Ovis aries: one gene and its partners. The protein of the gene in region 1 interacts with the protein of each later gene in a pairwise test. Links are inferred from orthologs where the notes say so. Each region holds a gene or a part of one and is shown in the gene's direction. Other genes may lie near its edges.

Region 1 (3,500 bases):
GTGAACTCCGGAGGGCGGATTGGGGGCTCCCGGCTTCCTGTCTTGTAATGGAAACTCGTGATCTCAGACTTGATCCCGCTGGATGGTCCTGGAGTTTGGTGAGGGGGAGACTTTCCCGAACTCCTCTGCCCCCGAAACAGGTCTGTGGGAAACTCGGACCTCGGCCAGACCTCCCTCGGGCCCCGGCTGCATCCAGCCCTCAACCGCCCCCGGCCCACCGAGCCGGGCAGTGTGTGCTGTGCCAGAGCGGTTTCCCAAGGATGTTGGGGAGTGCGAGGGGTTCCCGTCTCACAGCCACAAACGCATTTCTCAAAATGGAGCCTCCACTTGCCCCTCCTTTTCTCTCGGGCTCCAAGAGCGGGAGCCAGACTGGCTGGGCCTGGCTTTCCAGGCGCCTGGCTTTGGCTCCGTGGGTGTCTGGCGCTCAGGGCCCAGCTCAGCGTCTCTTCTCGGTTTAGGGGCCCCTGGCTTCGCGGGGACCCCGGCTCACTGGGTCCGCCAGGCCCTGGAGCCGCTCTTCGTCTTTGTCTCCTGTCCTTTGGGTCCCTGTCTGAATCTCTCTGTCTCCTCCCCTCAGTTTCCACTCTGTGCTCACTGAAGTGGGGAAACACACCGAGGTGCCAGCCCTCTTGGCCTCTTAGGGAAGCCCCTTCCCCACGGTTTCCTGCATGTCCTGGGTGGTCTGGGAGAGGGCAGAGGAGGGGGTGTTCTATCAGCTTTGCTCAGGACTGGCACTTGTGGGGTGGACTCAGTCCCCACCCCTGCTCCGAGGGCACCAGTCACCCCCACCCCTGGCTCCCAGCTCCTCCTCCCTCAGTCTGGACACCTTCCTCCAGATCTTTTGACTTGAGCGGGAAGGTGGGGGAGGGTGGACTTAACGAACACAAGCAAGAATGAAGGAGAGCAGATCAAGCAAAGAATAATGTGTCTCTCCTCTCCACACACTCCAGTGAGTGACAAAAACCAGGCTCCCACTCACTCATTTGGCCCTGCGTGCCACCCAGACTCTCACCCTCTCACATGCACACACAACACTCTGTACACACTTGTGCACTATTTCCTGTTCACACGCTTGTGTAGGATACATAAACTCGTGTATATATGAATGGACATCAAACCATTCTCTGACATAGTCACACTCATACATCACAGATTCACTAATGTATGCATTTATAATTTTCAGATACTTTCTGAGAGAGCTGCACAGATTTTTGTAAGGTATGCCCATATGAGTTCATGTATATATACATGTATATATCTGAATGTATTGATACATCTATCCAAACATACGTGTACTCACATACACTCATGTTTTCACACACAGTGCTCATGTTCATGTTCTTGTGCACAGTTTCACACACACAAATAAGTAAAATGCATACACTCCTACTCCTACGCAGTTCTCTGTCCACTTCTTGGCCCCCGCTCTGCATGATGACTTCAGCAGATGCCTGAGCCCTGGTCTTCAGCCTCAGGACTAGGGAGGGAGTTCCGGGTGGAGGCTTGCTATCCCCTTCCAGGAAGAGCAGGGCCTGGGAAGGTGGAGCTCTCTTCCCTGGAGCAGCTGCCAGAGGTGATGGTAGAGCCTCTATTCTCATCCCTTTGGATTTACTCTGGGGAATGTCGAAAGCTAAAAGGTTTCATAGAGGTTGGCAATGGGCCTGTGGAGGCTTCTTTAGGCCTGACTGACTGGGTGCGGTGAGGCTAGGAATTGTCATGGAAATAGGCATGAGCCTACATCCACCTCTGGGAGGCAGGAGACCCCAGAGGGCACCTGTGGGTTCCCTGAGAGCTCTGGTTCTTGTTTGACCAGCTCCACCCTTGCCGCCTCTCTGTCTGGGAGAAACTGAGGCCCAGCTGGGTGAGGCTGGGCACTGCCTGACCTTAGCTCTTTGTTCCCTAATTACCATTTTGAGCTGCAGACTGCACCCCTGAGTTTGCCCAGACTGCATCTAATGAGTCCACCTGTCCCAGTGGAACAGGGACCAGTGCCAGGAGCTGGTACAGAGGGCTTCCTCCCTGATTCCTGGCCTCTGTGGGACCCCCATTCCCTCATCATCCCTGCTTGATAGATTCAGTCCTTAGCCCTATTCAGACCAGAATTGGGCAGTGGTCTGGGGCCCAGGGAGGATGGAGGTTCTTGCCAAGATGCAAGAGGGGATGTGTTAGGGGGAGGATATCAGTGCTTTTCACTGATGTTGGGTGGGCCGTTTGACCAGAGACTAAGGACCAGGAGGGACTCAGGACTTCACACAGGAAGGGAGCTCACGATGGAGAGACTCTGATGCCACTTCCCTGCTCACAGGTTTCCCTGGAGGCCCCTGGCCAGGCCTGAGCCTCTGCCGCCATGGCCATTGTGCAGACACTGCCAGTGCCCCTGGAACCCGCTCCTGAGGCCGCTACCGCCCCACAAGCTCCAGCCATGGGCAGCGTGAGCAGCCTCATCTCAGGCCGGCCCTGCCCCGGGGGGCCGGCTCCTCCTCGCCACCATGGTCCCCCTGGACCCACCTTCTTCCGCCAGCAGGATGGGCTGCTGCGGGGTGGCTACGAGGCACAGGAGCCACTGTGCCCAGCTGTGCCCCCCAGGAAGGCTGTCCCTGGTACCAACTTTACCTACATCAACGAGGACTTCCGGACAGAGTCACCCCCCAGCCCAAGCAGTGACCTTGAAGATGCCCGAGAGCAGCGGGCACGCAATGCTCACCTCCGTGGTCCCCCACCAAAGCTCATCCCTGTCTCTGGAAAGCTAGAGAAGGTGAGGACCAGCCCTTCTTTTGAGGGTCTGGGTGGAATCAGAGGTCCCCTGGAGAAGCTGAAATTTGGAGACCTATTTATAGGAAGGAGTGTGGGCTCCAGATTCACCAGACTTGGGTTCTTATCCCAGCTCTACCTCACTCAGGGACATCATTTAACCTTTCTGAGCCTCAGTTTCTGTGTTTGTAAAATGGAGGTAACAGGTCAATTCTCATAGGATTGTTGTGAGAATTAAATCAAATAATATGTGTAAAGTGTTTAGCATAGTGCCTGGCACATAATAGGTACTCAATAAATGTTAGCTTCTTAGAAATACTGTTTTAAATAGCTAGTGTGTGTTTGCATTTGTGCAAAGCCTGTAACTCCCTCAGCCTCCATTTCCTCATCTATGTATGCAATAGCGATGATATTTTGCTTGCATGGATTTTGTAATGACCTGAGAGGTACATTTTAAGTTGCCTGACGTAAGTAAAGCTGACACAGGGGGCCCTCAGCCAGTGGTAGCAATTGTTATTACTATATGGGGACTGGGGGCCCTGGATGGGAGGGCAGGGAGTGTGATAAGGGCTTCAAGAGATTGGGCGGCTCATCCCTATTGTCAAATGGCACCTCATTTCAGAACATGGAGAAAATTGTGATCCGCCCAACAGCCTTCAAGCCAGTGCTGCCCAAACCTCGAGGGGTACCATCCCTACCTAGCTTCCTGGGTCCTCGGGCCACCGGACCGTCGGGGAGCCAAGGCAGCC
Region 2 (4,146 bases), on another chromosome or scaffold:
CCTGCTCCAGCCCTTCTCTTTCTGGCTTCGGTTGCCCTACCGATTATTTGCTAAGCAGTTTGCTGCACGATCTGATTTAATTGTCCCAGCGACCCCATGAAGCCTTATTTGTTTCACCCCAACCCGCTCCTCAGCTGTGTTTCCCTCGTAGCACTTATTAAGTCTGAAATGGCCGTGTCTGTCTGCTGCTGTGTCTGGATCCACCTCTTGACCACACACCTCTAGAGGGATAAGGCTCTCTGCTTTGCTCCTCAGACAGCCCTTGGCTCCGTGAGTCTCTCAAGAAAAGCCTGGCAAATGATGACGGAATGAAGGAACCTCGTTTTCTTGGCCCACAGAGCACAACTCTGTGCCCTTGGTCACCCGCCGAGGCAGCGTGGACCCCCTGCCCAGCTGGGGCCTCTCTTGCTGACCAGCCTTCAGCCTGGAATTCCAGGTGTGCCTTGGTGCCCGCAGGTTCATGCCGCCCAAAGAAACTTTCAGACTGCGCCTGTGGCTTTGGATCGGCTCAGAAAAAGCGTGTCCTGTGACTGCTCAAGGAATCTGGGCATTTAGCCCAGAAAAGAGTGTGTTTCCTGGCTTCCTGAGAGCTGGGGCCCACCCTGCCCCTGGCCTGGGCGTGTAGAAGGGGAGGGAGGGAGAGATGGACGCCAGCCCTGGAAAGGCGAGGACGTCTGGCCTTATCATCTAAGGTTCCTGAGACTGTCCAGGCAAGGCCACCCCAGCACGGTGGGGCAGAAAGTTTCCCCAGCGTTGGGGGCATCTCTAAGATGGGATTAGCACTCTCGAGTTACTGGAAAAGAAACATTCCTTGAACTCAGACAGCTTGTGATCCCCAGCGGTTCTTCTGGGCACCTCACCGGTCACCACGCGGTAGTCGTGGGTGCAGCGGTCACAGAGCTCAGGGTGACTGGCCTCCATTGGGTCATCGGGCCACCCCCTGGGGCCAGATGTTTCGAAAGCCCCTTCCTGCAGCGCCAGGCATCTGGCCTCTCCCTCCAAGGCTGGGCGCGGGTTTACGAGGTGTCTTTGAGGAAGGCTGGAGTCATCCGGCCCGTGATGTCTGCTCGTTGCATAATTTCACAATTCGGTTTTCTTTTCACAAGAAGGGTCAGTGCTTCTCTCTCCTTCTCCCTCCTCCTTTTTCCTCTTTTATTTTCTTTCCCTCTTGATCCTCCCTCATTGACTGGCCCGGAATGCCTCCACCCTCTGGCTGGGAGATCACCGAGTCCTCAGAGGAGATTAACTGGAATTACCCACAGGTTAACTGGAATATACTTGTCAAGTTTCTGAGATGGAGAAACCTCCTTTTTGTACTCAGAGGAGAGTGGAGGAGGCCAGCCTCCCTTTTCCTCAGCAGGGATTAAAAAAAGTCACCCAGGAGGGGCACAGCAGCTGGAATTTGGTTCCCAAACCCCAGACCCAGGCCAGGTCTGGGTCTGTGAGGCTGTCTCACTGATCCTTGGTGACGTGAGAAACTTAAGGACAGGCCTGGCCTCAGCAACTTTCTTGTGTCGGGTGTCCTTTTATGCAGGATGCTGACGACAGAGAGAAATTGTATTTTAGATGTCAGACAGCGCTGGCAACCTTATGTCCATCTTCAGAATTTGGGAGAATCTTTACAGGCCTGTGAAAGCCCTAGGCCCATGCTCAATTACTCAGTCGTGTCCGACTCTTTATGACCTCCTGGACTGTAGCCCACCAGACTCCTCCATGCATGGGATTTCCCAGGCAAGAATACTGGAGTGGTTTGCCATTTCCTCCTCCAGAGGAATCTTCCCAACCCAGGGATCGAACCCATGTCTCCTGCGTCTCCTGCATTGGAGGCAGATTTTTTACTGCTGAGCCACAGGGGAAGCCCATCACTAATTAACTTCCTCTGAAGCACCCGAAACAGAAGTTGAGTCTGAAAGAGTCTTCGATGCCTGGAGAACCCAGGGAACCTCAGCTGCACATGGAAGGCCAGCTGTGCTGGAGGGGGGGCGGGGGGGGGCGGGGGATGGCGGGGAGCATGTTCGTTTCCTTGAGCCGCCATGACAAATCCCTGCCTGTGGGGTGGACTGAAATAATAAAAACTGATTCTCTCACAGTCCTGGAGCCCAGAGGTCCAAAATCAAGGTGTTGGCAGCATTGGTTCCTTATCAAGGCTCTGAGGGTGAGTCCGTTGGGTGCTTTGCTCCCAGCTTCTGCTGGTCACCAGCAGTCCTTGGTGTTCCCTTGCGAATACACACACCCCTCCTATCTCTGACTCTGTCGTCACGTGGCCTTTTCCCTGTGTGTCTCTGAGTTCAGGTTTCCCTCTGCTTATAAAGATACCAGCCACTGGATTTAGGGCCACCCTAATCCTGTGTGACCTCATCTTAATTCGATTGCGTCTTCAAAGACCCTGTGTGAGTTTTGTAGGGATGCTGTCTGACCTGGTACAGGGCTGAGGGTGGGCATAGCTGAGCCATAGTCCTCTGGACTGTTTGCGGCCATTTGCATTGGGTTAACCAGGGTACCCAGGGGTCCCGCCAGCATTCCCACGGAGGAGACAGATGTGCACAAGGACCCCAGTCCAGGAAGGAGGGTCATAACCCCTCACTGTATGGACTGAGGGACCCAGGCGGGGACCCAGGCAGGGGCTCGCTGACCCCAGGGCTCTGCATCCTGGACTCGCTGGCCACAAGCACTTAGTCCTTCGGTGGCACCAGCCCAGGTAGCTTAGAGCCAAGAGCCGCTCCTCTTGCACGAGCCGCCAGCCGTGGCCGGGCTCCCCCGGCAGGGAGAGGGGCCCCTCCCAGTATGACAGGGCCCTGCCATTCTGGGTGGTGCCTGCCAGTTTGGCCTCCGCCTGCTGTGTGGGTAAAGGGCAGCCCGCAGGGCATGAAGGAGGGATCCCAGGCTCCTTTGTTTCCCCGGGAACTCTTATCTCTTTTGGCAAAAGCCCTGTGACCAGTCGTTTCCGGAGACACGTCCCAGCCTGACACCTCCTGGCCAAGTGATCTTGAGCAAGCAAATCCTGGGCCTCTCTGCATCTCTCTTGGCCTCTCCCGGGCGATAGTAGAGTTTCCAGCCGGGCCCGTTTCTGAATTAGGGAACGCTGTATGAGAGTTTGTAACCACCTTTTGCGAATCTTTCTGGTGCCTAGCACAGAGCCTGGCACCAGGCTCGGTGCTCAGTGAATACTCAGCAAATAGGAGAGCATGTCTCGGAGCCCAGAATGTACACTCTGTGGCCCTCCTGAATTACGGCCCCAGAAGGGTCTCTCGAGAGGGAGATTCTGTAGGCATTTCCTTCCTCCTGTCTGTAATGGTCACCGGAGATGACCAAGGCAGGGGTGGGGAGGTCAGCGTACATGTAGCTGGCGGAGGCTTGATGCTGCTGAACTTTGATGGAGGCTTTCATTCATCAGGTAACTCATTGAGTAAACTCATACCTCAACTTGGTACCAAGGGTGGCAGAGTGTGCAAAAGAGCCTGGAAGAGGAGCCTGGAGACCCGAGTTCTGGTGCTGGCTTTGCATGCCTTATTGGCTCTCTGTGCTCAGGGTCGCTCTTCCCACTTACCTGCCCATTTGCAGAGCTGAGGCTACAGCTGTTGTTAGGGCCTCTGTCCCACACCTAATGCTGGGCCCATCCAGCTTCCAGGCCTTTGCACAGGCTGTGCCATCTGCCTGGAGCGCCCTCCCGCTGCTCCTCTGCTCAGAGCAGCTTCCTCTTCTGAAGAAACAACACCCCATTCTTCGGGCAGACTGCGAGACACTTCCTTGTGTTTCCACACTCTTGGTGTGCAAAGCAGCAGTCACACTGGCTTGTAGGTGCATTGGCTTGTGAGACTCCTCTCTCTCTCTAAATGGAGAGCCCCACTGAGGTTGCACTGGTTCCAGTACCTGCTGGTTGAATGAACAAATGATTGAAGGTCCTTGGGCCCCTTACTTCTCTGTTCCAAGCCTCAGTTTCCTGTCCTTCTGCTTTCAAGCACAGAAAGTGGGCTGGTGGATTCTTTGGGGGGTTATTCTTAGGTCTCTGGTGAGACATGAGACCTCAGATGAGTGGATTCAGGATTTTTCCTGCTCCCAGGAATAGAGCAGTGGCGTGGTGGTGGCTGCGAGCGTGTTTGTTGAACGACCGCCTGCTCTTGGTGCAGATGTTCCGGATTCTCCGTG
Region 3 (3,950 bases), on another chromosome or scaffold:
CCACCGCCGATAACACCCATAGTGAAGGCTCCACCGCAATCATCCACAATTCGCCATGGGCTGCAAGCGGGAAGGGGAGGATGAGGTTAATGTGAGCGCTCCCTCATGCCAAGTCACAAGATCTCTTTCCAACTGGGAGCAATACGTCACCCAAATGAGAACTAGCACTTCAGATAATACTGGGATTATTTCTCCCCTCATTTAAGCAAAAAATAATGTGAAGAGGGGAAAACATCAGTCTTGGCCCTGTCCGCCCCTCCCCTTCACAGCCAACCAGGGAATCAACCAACTGGTTGACTACTGTCAAAGATTAAATGAATTAATGAGAGGGCATTAATTAAAGAATTGGCACGTTTGAATTACGCTACAGGTGTTGCAGGCACTGTTCCTTAAGCAGAATGGGGTAGCACCCCTTTTTCCGATAATGAGCACGTCCAACAAAGCCACGTCCTCTTCCCTTTTCACCCTCGCACAACTGGGGAAAATCAAGCACATAGAGTGCGGAGGACCCATCACCCCTCCATGACCACAATCATGGTCAGGCTCATCCAGGCCCCGCCAGCATTAACCAAAGCGACCTGGGAAAAACCATGCGTTTTTCCAGGGGATACCCGCTCAACACCGCACCACCCCCTGGCTGGAATGGATTCGACCAGCGTGTCTTTAACAGAGGGGCTGGGAGGTACGGAATCAAGGAAAACGTGGAGTGGTCCGTCCTGCACCAAACCTTCTTCTGCAGGCACACAATTGTGGCCCCTTTTAACGGAGCCCGAGTAAGAGAAACCAAGTGGAGAGGAGCAGAAGACAACAAAAATCTAAATGTGTTCCGAGTCTGGGACGTGGCGCTGTGTGGCCCGTGCCTCCCCCACCCGCCTCCCACCGCTGGCCGTGGCGCCGCAGCAACAGTCCCGACACCTATGCCCCTCGCTGTACCAAGGTTCCCGAGCATACTCCTCCATGGCGCCGGCGTCCGGCCGCGCAGTATCGCTAAACCCTGGCCGGGCCACACCTCCACTGGAAACGTATACAAGCGCCCGAGCTTTCCACCTATCCCAGGGCAACGGTTCTGTTGTTTCGCCAGACTTCAGATCAAAGCGCATTCTCATTGGCTAGGTAGGTTTGCGTCATCTTTTCACTGCGTGAGCGTCGTGCAGTTACGTCTAAGCTCGGGGAGAGAGAAACTCATTCTGTGCTTTGGGAGAAGAGAGTCGTGTGGTCCTGGCGCTCATAGAGACGACGAGAGAGAGGTGGCCAGTTGGAAAGTCGTCCACTACTTGCGTGACTGTATTGGTAATTTGGGGTGGGTGCATTTTTTGGAGCTGGAGGAGGTGTTACACTGTGCTCCCCCATCCCAACGCTTTGGTTCCTCCCACCCAGCAGTCTTTGGGGGACGTTGGGTGAAACCATTTTGGGTAGTGGGGGAGCCGCGCATGGCCCCTTGGGCTGGGCGGAGCCTGGGCCTAGGACGGGAACCCGGTGCTGCAGCCACTGGCCTGGGAGAGCGGAGTTGGTGAGAGTGTTGGTGATATTGCTGTTTACAACCCCTTCCACCTTTCAGCGGGTAGGGTCTATTTCCCTCCTAGTGTAGATGGGGGTCCAGATTGAGTACATGCTGCGGGGAGGCCCTTGGTTACTCTTGTAACCAGATTCAGTCCTCATCTGAGCTGTTTTTCAGGCTGTCTGTCCTTCCGTAGGCCTGTCTGCCATCCGCTATGCCGCTGCCTGTTGCGTTGCAGACCCGCTTGGCCAAGAGAGGCATCCTCAAACATTTGGAGCCTGGTGAGAGAACTAAGAGAAGAGAGGCCTACCATGTGCCCGACTTGACAGGCACTTTGTTGCGGATACTGCCGCTTGATATCTAGCATGGGCCTATTGTGCACCAAGCAGTGGGGTGGCAGGCATTTCCTTGTTAACAATACGTGTTGAAAGTGAAAGAAAGTGAAAGTGAAGTCGCTCGGTCGTGTCCGACTCTTTGCGACCCCGTGGACTGTAGCCTACGAGGCTCCTCCGTCCATGGAATTCTCCAGGCAAGAATACTTGGACGGGAGTGGGTTGCCATTTCCTTCTCCAGGGGAATCTTCCCTACCCAGGGATCGAACCCGGGTCTCCCGCATTGCGGGCAGATGCTTTAACCTCTGAGCTACCAGGGATTCCCAACAATACGTGTTACTGACCCCTATTCCTGTCCTATGAGGAGGAGGGGAGGTGGGGTATGGAATAGACATTTCGTCCTTAACACTGACAGTTGATGTGTATTTTGGGGTCTTCTGTAGCCAAAGTTTAACCCATCAGTTAATTCCTGGAAGTATAATAAGGATAGTAATAGTAAGCTGACACCTATGGCAGCCTCCTGTCGGCCAAGTATAGTCGCAGGGTGCTGATACTTTGTTCTGTAACATACTAGTAGATAACATTATTTCAGACCTGCTGTGGAACTAGGCACTGTGTGAGTTGTCCATACCTTATTGTTCACCATGTCAATAGCTGACATGTATTTTGAGTCTTCTTAAGTGCTTATCATACACTGTGGTTAACAGTATATAAAGTAATGATAGGATCTATCATTTAGGCCTACTGTGCTGCTGTTGCTAGTATTTATACCTTATTTATCAATAATAGTAAAAGCTGGCATCTATTTTGGGCTAAGGTGTGCCAGGTACTAGAAAACTCATCTTATTTTCACTTTATTGATAAGTGACACCTATTACAAGCCTGTTGTATGCCAAAGATCTTTGGTTATTAATAATATTGATAATGATACTGATATGGTATTTATTTTAAGGCTGTTTGCTACCAGGCCCTGTACTAACTGTATGTATCTTACTAACAATATTAATGATTGTAGCTGACATCTATTTGGGGCCTATTGTGTGACAGGCACTATGCTGTTGCTGACATATACATTTAATTGTTAACTATATCCATGGGTGAAATCTGTGATAGGACTACTGAGGTCCAAGTACTCATACACCTTTCTTTATTCTGTTGATAGTAACTGACAACTATTGCAGGCATCAGGAACTGAACAGATTCAGAGAAGTGTTTGGATAAATCCCTTGCTGTCCAAACTTGCTAGTCAATATATAGGAGTCAGAAACCCCATATTTGCCAGCCGTGGAAGCTGAATAGATTTGGACATATTTTTAGGTAAACCCCTTGCTGTTGAAACTCATTTTATTCAAATTTGCATAATACAGTGTCACATACTATTTGAACTCAGAAGCTGAATAAATATGGATACTTTTTAAAAAAAATGTATCCCTGTCTAAAGTATGAAACCAGATAAGTTTGGGTAGTAGTACCCGTAAACAGATTTGAGTAAATTTTTTTGGTAAATCCTGATATTCAGATACTTGGATTTGGAACATGAGCAGTATTTGCTCTGGCATGTGAGACCTGGCATGCACACACACACACACAGTCCACGTGAATGTGAGTGTGTCTCTCCAGGCCCTGATTGCAGGATGGGAATCTCCCTGGTTCTTACTGCTGTCCTCTTCCCTTCCTTGTCCTGCCAGAACCAGAGGAAGAGATCATTGCTGAGGACTATGATGACGATCCTGTGGACTATGAGGCTACCCGGTTGGAGGGCCTGCCACCAAGCTGGTACAAGGTGTTTGACCCTTCCTGGTGAGCCTGACGACATGCGGGTGGGGAGGGAGAGCTAACTTCTGACTTCACCCTTCCTGTGAAGGGTTCAGTTCAGTTCAGTCACTCAGTCATGTCCGACTCTTTGTGACCCCATGAATCACAGCACACCAGGCCTCCCTGTCCATCACCAACTCCCAGAGTTCACTCAAACTGATGTCCATCGAGTCAGTGATGCCATCCAGCCATCTCATCCTCTGTCGTCCCCTTCTCCTCCTGCCCCCAATCCCTCCCAGCATCAGAGTCCTTTTCAATGAGTCAACACTTTGCATGAGATGGCCAAAGTATTAGGGTTTCAGCTT
Region 4 (4,203 bases), on another chromosome or scaffold:
TCAGAAATCCAGGTCAGATGGGGGGAGGAAATACCATATGAGAAATAAAAGTGGGTGAGTTACATTTCCTAGCATGAGTATCAGAGACTACAAAGGAAGCCCTGACATGTGGATCAAAGTTAAAAATACAGTAAGAGGGTCCCCTAGAGCCAGGAAGGAGGAGAACAGAGAGATGGGGAGGTCTGGGCAGACAGATGGACAGAACAGGAGTGGACTGGAAGTGGAAAGAGGGTGGGGAGTAGGGAGTGTCAAGAGTCTGAGCCAGGAAGAGACTATGGGTTGGGGGCTAGGAGATCAGCTTCTAACAGACTGTGAGGAGCCCACTTAGGATGTGAGTGCCCAGGCTAAGGAATGGGCCAGCAGTCCAGGTGGGATGGGGGCCCTCAGGTCCCGGGGCTGATGGAGAGAGGAGGCGGATGAAGCTCTGCCGGGGAGGAAACCCCCGGAGAAGGAGGCGGGTCCCAGGGCCTGGGGTTCATGGGACCGAGGAAAACGTGGGAGGCAGCAGGCACGTCTAGGGCCTGGGAGCGTCCAGAGTCAGAGGGAATCCCTGGAGAGTTTCCCGGACGGGGTCCGAGAGGGACTGAAAGAAAGACTGTTGCCGGGGCGACAGGCCACGGGGAGGCAGGGCCGGATCTGAGGCGGCCGGTCCCCGGCTCGGGCCCGCAGGGTTGGGGTGCGCCGGAGGGCCCCCGGCAGGCCCGGGCAGCAGGCCCGTCCGTGGCCGCGGGCCCCAGGGGGCGGCGGCGTGGCCCGGTCCGTGGACGTCTCGAGAGGCCGGGCCGCCGGCTCACCTGCAGCACTACCTCCACGTCGTACGAGTTCCCCTTGCTCTTCTGGTGGCCGCGGAACTTGGAGCCGCTGTAGAGCAGGCTGGTGGCCACGCCGGGCTGCTGCGTGTTGATAGGCGGCGGCGGGATGAGCGAGGCGGCGGAGGCGGCCGAGGCACCGGCCGGCGGGGGACACTCGGTGCGGACCGGCATCGCGGGGTCCCCCGGAGCCAGGGCTGGGGGAGGGGGAGGAACCGCCGCCGCCGCGCGGAAGCCGAGGGCAGACGGAGGAGAAGCCGGCGCGCGCGTAGGGCGGGAGGGGTCCACCCGCCGGCCGCAAGCAGATCGAGCGCTCCGGCCACCACCGGGACCCCGGGACCTGCGAGCAGGGCCTCCGGGTCCTGAGCGAACCCCCTCCCCGCCTGCGCTCGCACACACACCCCTTCCGATTGGCTCGGGCGCGCTGAGGGGCGGGATCAGGCTGGCTCGGCGATTCCGCCCATTGGCGGGCGGGGAAAGCACGTGGCGGGAGCCGAGGCCCTCTGGTACTTGTAGTCTTTTTCCCGAGGCGCGGCGCGGGGGCGGGGCCGGGGCGTTTGTGATGCTGATTGGCTGCGGCGTGCGCTGAGGCGCGCGGCGGCGGCGCGCTACGAGTGTCGTGCGCAACATGGCGGCGCCCCAAAAGGGAGAGGGTGCCGGCGACTGGTGAGGAGGTTTGTGGAGTTCGAGCACACGGCGTGTGGTCCCTCCGCTCCTTTTCCCCGAGCTCTGGTTTCGAGCGGTCGTTCTCTGAGGCCCCCGCGCGATGTGGAGGAGCTGCCTTCGGCTGCGGGATGGGGGGCGTCGCCTCCTGAACCGGCCCCGAAGTGGCCTCACCGCCTCCGAGGGGCTGGGGCGAAAGCCCCCTATCCCCTTCCGGGCCTACGTGCCCCCGGCAGGTGAGAGAGGCCAGGGCGGAGCAGGCTGAGGGGTCGGCCATGCAGGGTCACACGGTGGGAGGGAAGTTCCCCGCGAGGGCAGGGATCGCTCCAGGGCACACGCGCGTCGTTTCCTTTTGGCAGGTGCGGTTTTTCTCTCTTTCACTGGGGAAGCAGAGGTCATCCTTATTTTCAGGCGGGGAAATTCGACTTCTGGGTCGGGATTGCGCTAGAGGCGCGAAGCAGACTCAGAGGTTTGCGGGGCAAAGGCCAGTCTGCTAGGCTGCTTTCTGTGTCCCCGCGACCGGCACTGAAGGGGCCTGAAGCTCGGGCTTTAAGTCTTCCATCCCGGCCGCTTGCTCCACAGCTGTCCTGGCCCTGCCTCCTGCTGCCCTCCCAGAACACCTGCCACCTCTTCTAAGGAGTTGACACCCCGTGCCCCCTTCCTGCACTTCCGACTCGGATGAGGCTTTCTGTAGCGGATCTTTCTTACTCCTAGGCAAAGATTTTGGGATAAGAGTGGGACTGACTTTAAGTGAGTGAAGACAGTAACGCTTTCTTTCCTGCCAGTTAGTACTGTGCTGAAGGTGGGGGTGAGGAGAAGGTCACTGCGGTGTTGGAGCTGTTCCGAGGTCGCCCGTGTGGCCTCCAGTCCCCTACCAGCTGTCCCAGCCATCAGCTGCATAGAGAAGAAAGGTCTTCAGAGAGCCTGCCTGTCCAGCTGAGGAGTACACCGGTGAAGTCAAAGCTGGGGGTCTCTGCTTACAAGTTGTCTTGTCTGCACAAGTGGTTTAGCGTCTCATTGTCTGCCTCCTCTAAAGAGACAGCTTGTGCTGGATTGAGGGAGATGCTGTAGATAGGGAGGCCAGCCTGCCACCTGTTTTTGTAAATAGTTTTCCAGGAACCCAGGCCCGCTCATTCACTGACACACACCTAAGGCTGTTTTCACTACAGTGCAGAGTTGGCTGGTTGTGCCAGACACTGGATGGCCTGCAAAGCTTAAAACACTTTGGCTTTTTACAGAAAAAGTTTGCCAGCAGTGCTGTGGATGCTAGAGCGGTTTTGGGGAAAAGTGTTTAGTCATCTGGCCCGTTTATAGTAATTGCTGTGGTAGATACACTTGCCCTGAAGAATTTTAAAACAGCCTTACTGAGATGATGCATTTAGAATTCACTCACTTAGATTGTACAGTTTAATGGTCCCTAATGGCTCAGATGGTAAAGAATCCACCCTTGTTGCGGGAGACCTGGGTTCAATCCCTGGGTTGGGAAGATCCCCTGGAGGAAGGGCATGGCTACCCACTCCAGTATTCTTGCCTGGAGAATCCCTGTGGACAGAGGAGCCTGGCGGGTTACAGTCCATGGGGTTGCAGAGTCGGACATACTGAGCGACTAAGCACAGTATACTCAGAGTTCTGCTGCCATCAGTTCTGGAACCTTCTTATGACACCAAAGGATCCCTGTACCCATTAGCTGCCACTCTGAGTATCCCCCTGCCCCACCCCATCCCTCCAGCCCTAGACAACCACTACTTCACTCTCTATGAAGTCAAGTCGCTCAGCCGTGTCCGACTCTTTGCGACCCTGTGGACGGTCGCCTACCAGGCTCCTCCCTCCATGGGATTCTCCAGGCAAGAGTACTGGAGTGGGTTGCCATTTCCTTCTCCAGGGGGTCTTCCTGACCCAGGGATTGAACCGGGGTCTCCCGCATTGCAGGCAGATGCTTTAACCTGTGAGCCACCAGAGATCTGTATCTATAGATTTCCCTATTTTGGACATTTCATATAAATGGAATGTGGTCTTTTTCTCCATTTAGCGTATATCCAAGGTTCGTCCTGGCTTCCCTGGTGGCTCAGACGGTAAAGCATCTGCCTACAATGCAGGAGACCCTGGTTCGATCTCTGGGTCCGGAAGATCCTCTGGAGAAGGAAATGGCAACCCACTCCAGTACTCTTGCCTGGAAAATCCCATGGACGGAGGAGCCTGGTAGGCTACAGTCTACGGGGTTGCAAAGAGTCGGACACGACTGAGCACCTTCACTTTCACTTTCACAAGGTTTGTCCTAGAGTTAGCGCATGTCAGTACTTCATTCTTTTTCATAACTGGTAATATTCAGTTTTGGGGACACACCATGTCTTATTTACCCAGTCAGTCATTGATGAACATTTGGGTGGTTTTCATCATTTGACTGTTCTGAATGCCTTTGTAAACACTTGAATACAGGTTTTTGTGTGAGAATGTGTTTTCGTTTCTCATAGGAGGTACCTAAAAATAAATAGGACGTCCCCAGTGGCTCAGGGTTAAAGAATACACCTGCAAGGCAGGAGACCCGGCTTTGATTCGTGGGTCAGGAAGAGCCCTTGGAGAAGGGAATGGCAACCCACTCCAGTATTCTTGGCTAGAGAATTCCATGGACAGAAAAGCCTGGTGGACTGCAGTCCATAGGGTCACAAAGAGTTGGACACAACTAAAGCAATTTAGCACACACGCAAGAGCAGACTTGCTGGATCAAACGGTA

Evidence for each region.
Region 2: the proteins of LZTS2 (region 1) and NEK6 interact in binary tests that used the Homo sapiens proteins (3 or more experiments, as listed by UniProt). The two-hybrid records come from large-scale screens. The link is inferred for Ovis aries from reciprocal best matches to the Homo sapiens genes LZTS2 and NEK6.
Region 3: the proteins of LZTS2 (region 1) and PQBP1 interact in binary tests that used the Homo sapiens proteins (3 or more experiments, as listed by UniProt). The two-hybrid records come from large-scale screens. The link is inferred for Ovis aries from reciprocal best matches to the Homo sapiens genes LZTS2 and PQBP1.
Region 4: the proteins of LZTS2 (region 1) and ATPAF2 interact in binary tests that used the Homo sapiens proteins (3 or more experiments, as listed by UniProt). The two-hybrid records come from large-scale screens. The link is inferred for Ovis aries from reciprocal best matches to the Homo sapiens genes LZTS2 and ATPAF2.

The regions. Positions count from the first base shown.
Region 1 is NC_056075.1:21,599,785-21,603,284, forward strand, and holds part of LZTS2 (leucine zipper putative tumor suppressor 2), read left to right. Parts: exon of another isoform or gene 1-140; intron 141-2,305; 5' UTR 2,306-2,347; coding exon 2,348-2,755; intron 2,756-3,373; coding exon 3,374-3,500. UniProt on the Homo sapiens protein: Negative regulator of katanin-mediated microtubule severing and release from the centrosome. Required for central spindle formation and the completion of cytokinesis.
Region 2 is NC_056056.1:11,541,380-11,545,525, reverse strand, and holds the start of NEK6 (serine/threonine-protein kinase Nek6), read left to right. Parts: upstream 1-1,346; 5' UTR 1,347-4,146. UniProt on the Homo sapiens protein: Protein kinase which plays an important role in mitotic cell cycle progression. Required for chromosome segregation at metaphase-anaphase transition, robust mitotic spindle formation and cytokinesis.
Region 3 is NC_056080.1:56,175,740-56,179,689, reverse strand, and holds the start of PQBP1 (polyglutamine-binding protein 1), read left to right. Parts: upstream 1-1,150; 5' UTR 1,151-1,300; intron 1,301-1,462; exon of another isoform or gene 1,463-1,561; intron 1,562-1,675; exon of another isoform or gene 1,676-1,694; 5' UTR 1,695-1,712; coding exon 1,713-1,779; intron 1,780-3,156; exon of another isoform or gene 3,157-3,518; coding exon 3,519-3,630; exon of another isoform or gene 3,631-3,950. Other genes in the region: TIMM17B (mitochondrial import inner membrane translocase subunit Tim17-B), read right to left, coding at 1-60, 934-959. UniProt on the Homo sapiens protein: Intrinsically disordered protein that acts as a scaffold, and which is involved in different processes, such as pre-mRNA splicing, transcription regulation, innate immunity and neuron development.
Region 4 is NC_056064.1:34,270,544-34,274,746, forward strand, and holds the start of ATPAF2 (ATP synthase mitochondrial F1 complex assembly factor 2), read left to right. Parts: upstream 1-1,403; 5' UTR 1,404-1,575; coding exon 1,576-1,708; intron 1,709-4,203. Other genes in the region: GID4 (glucose-induced degradation protein 4 homolog), read right to left, coding at 795-983. UniProt on the Homo sapiens protein: Plays a role in the assembly of the F1 component of the mitochondrial ATP synthase (ATPase).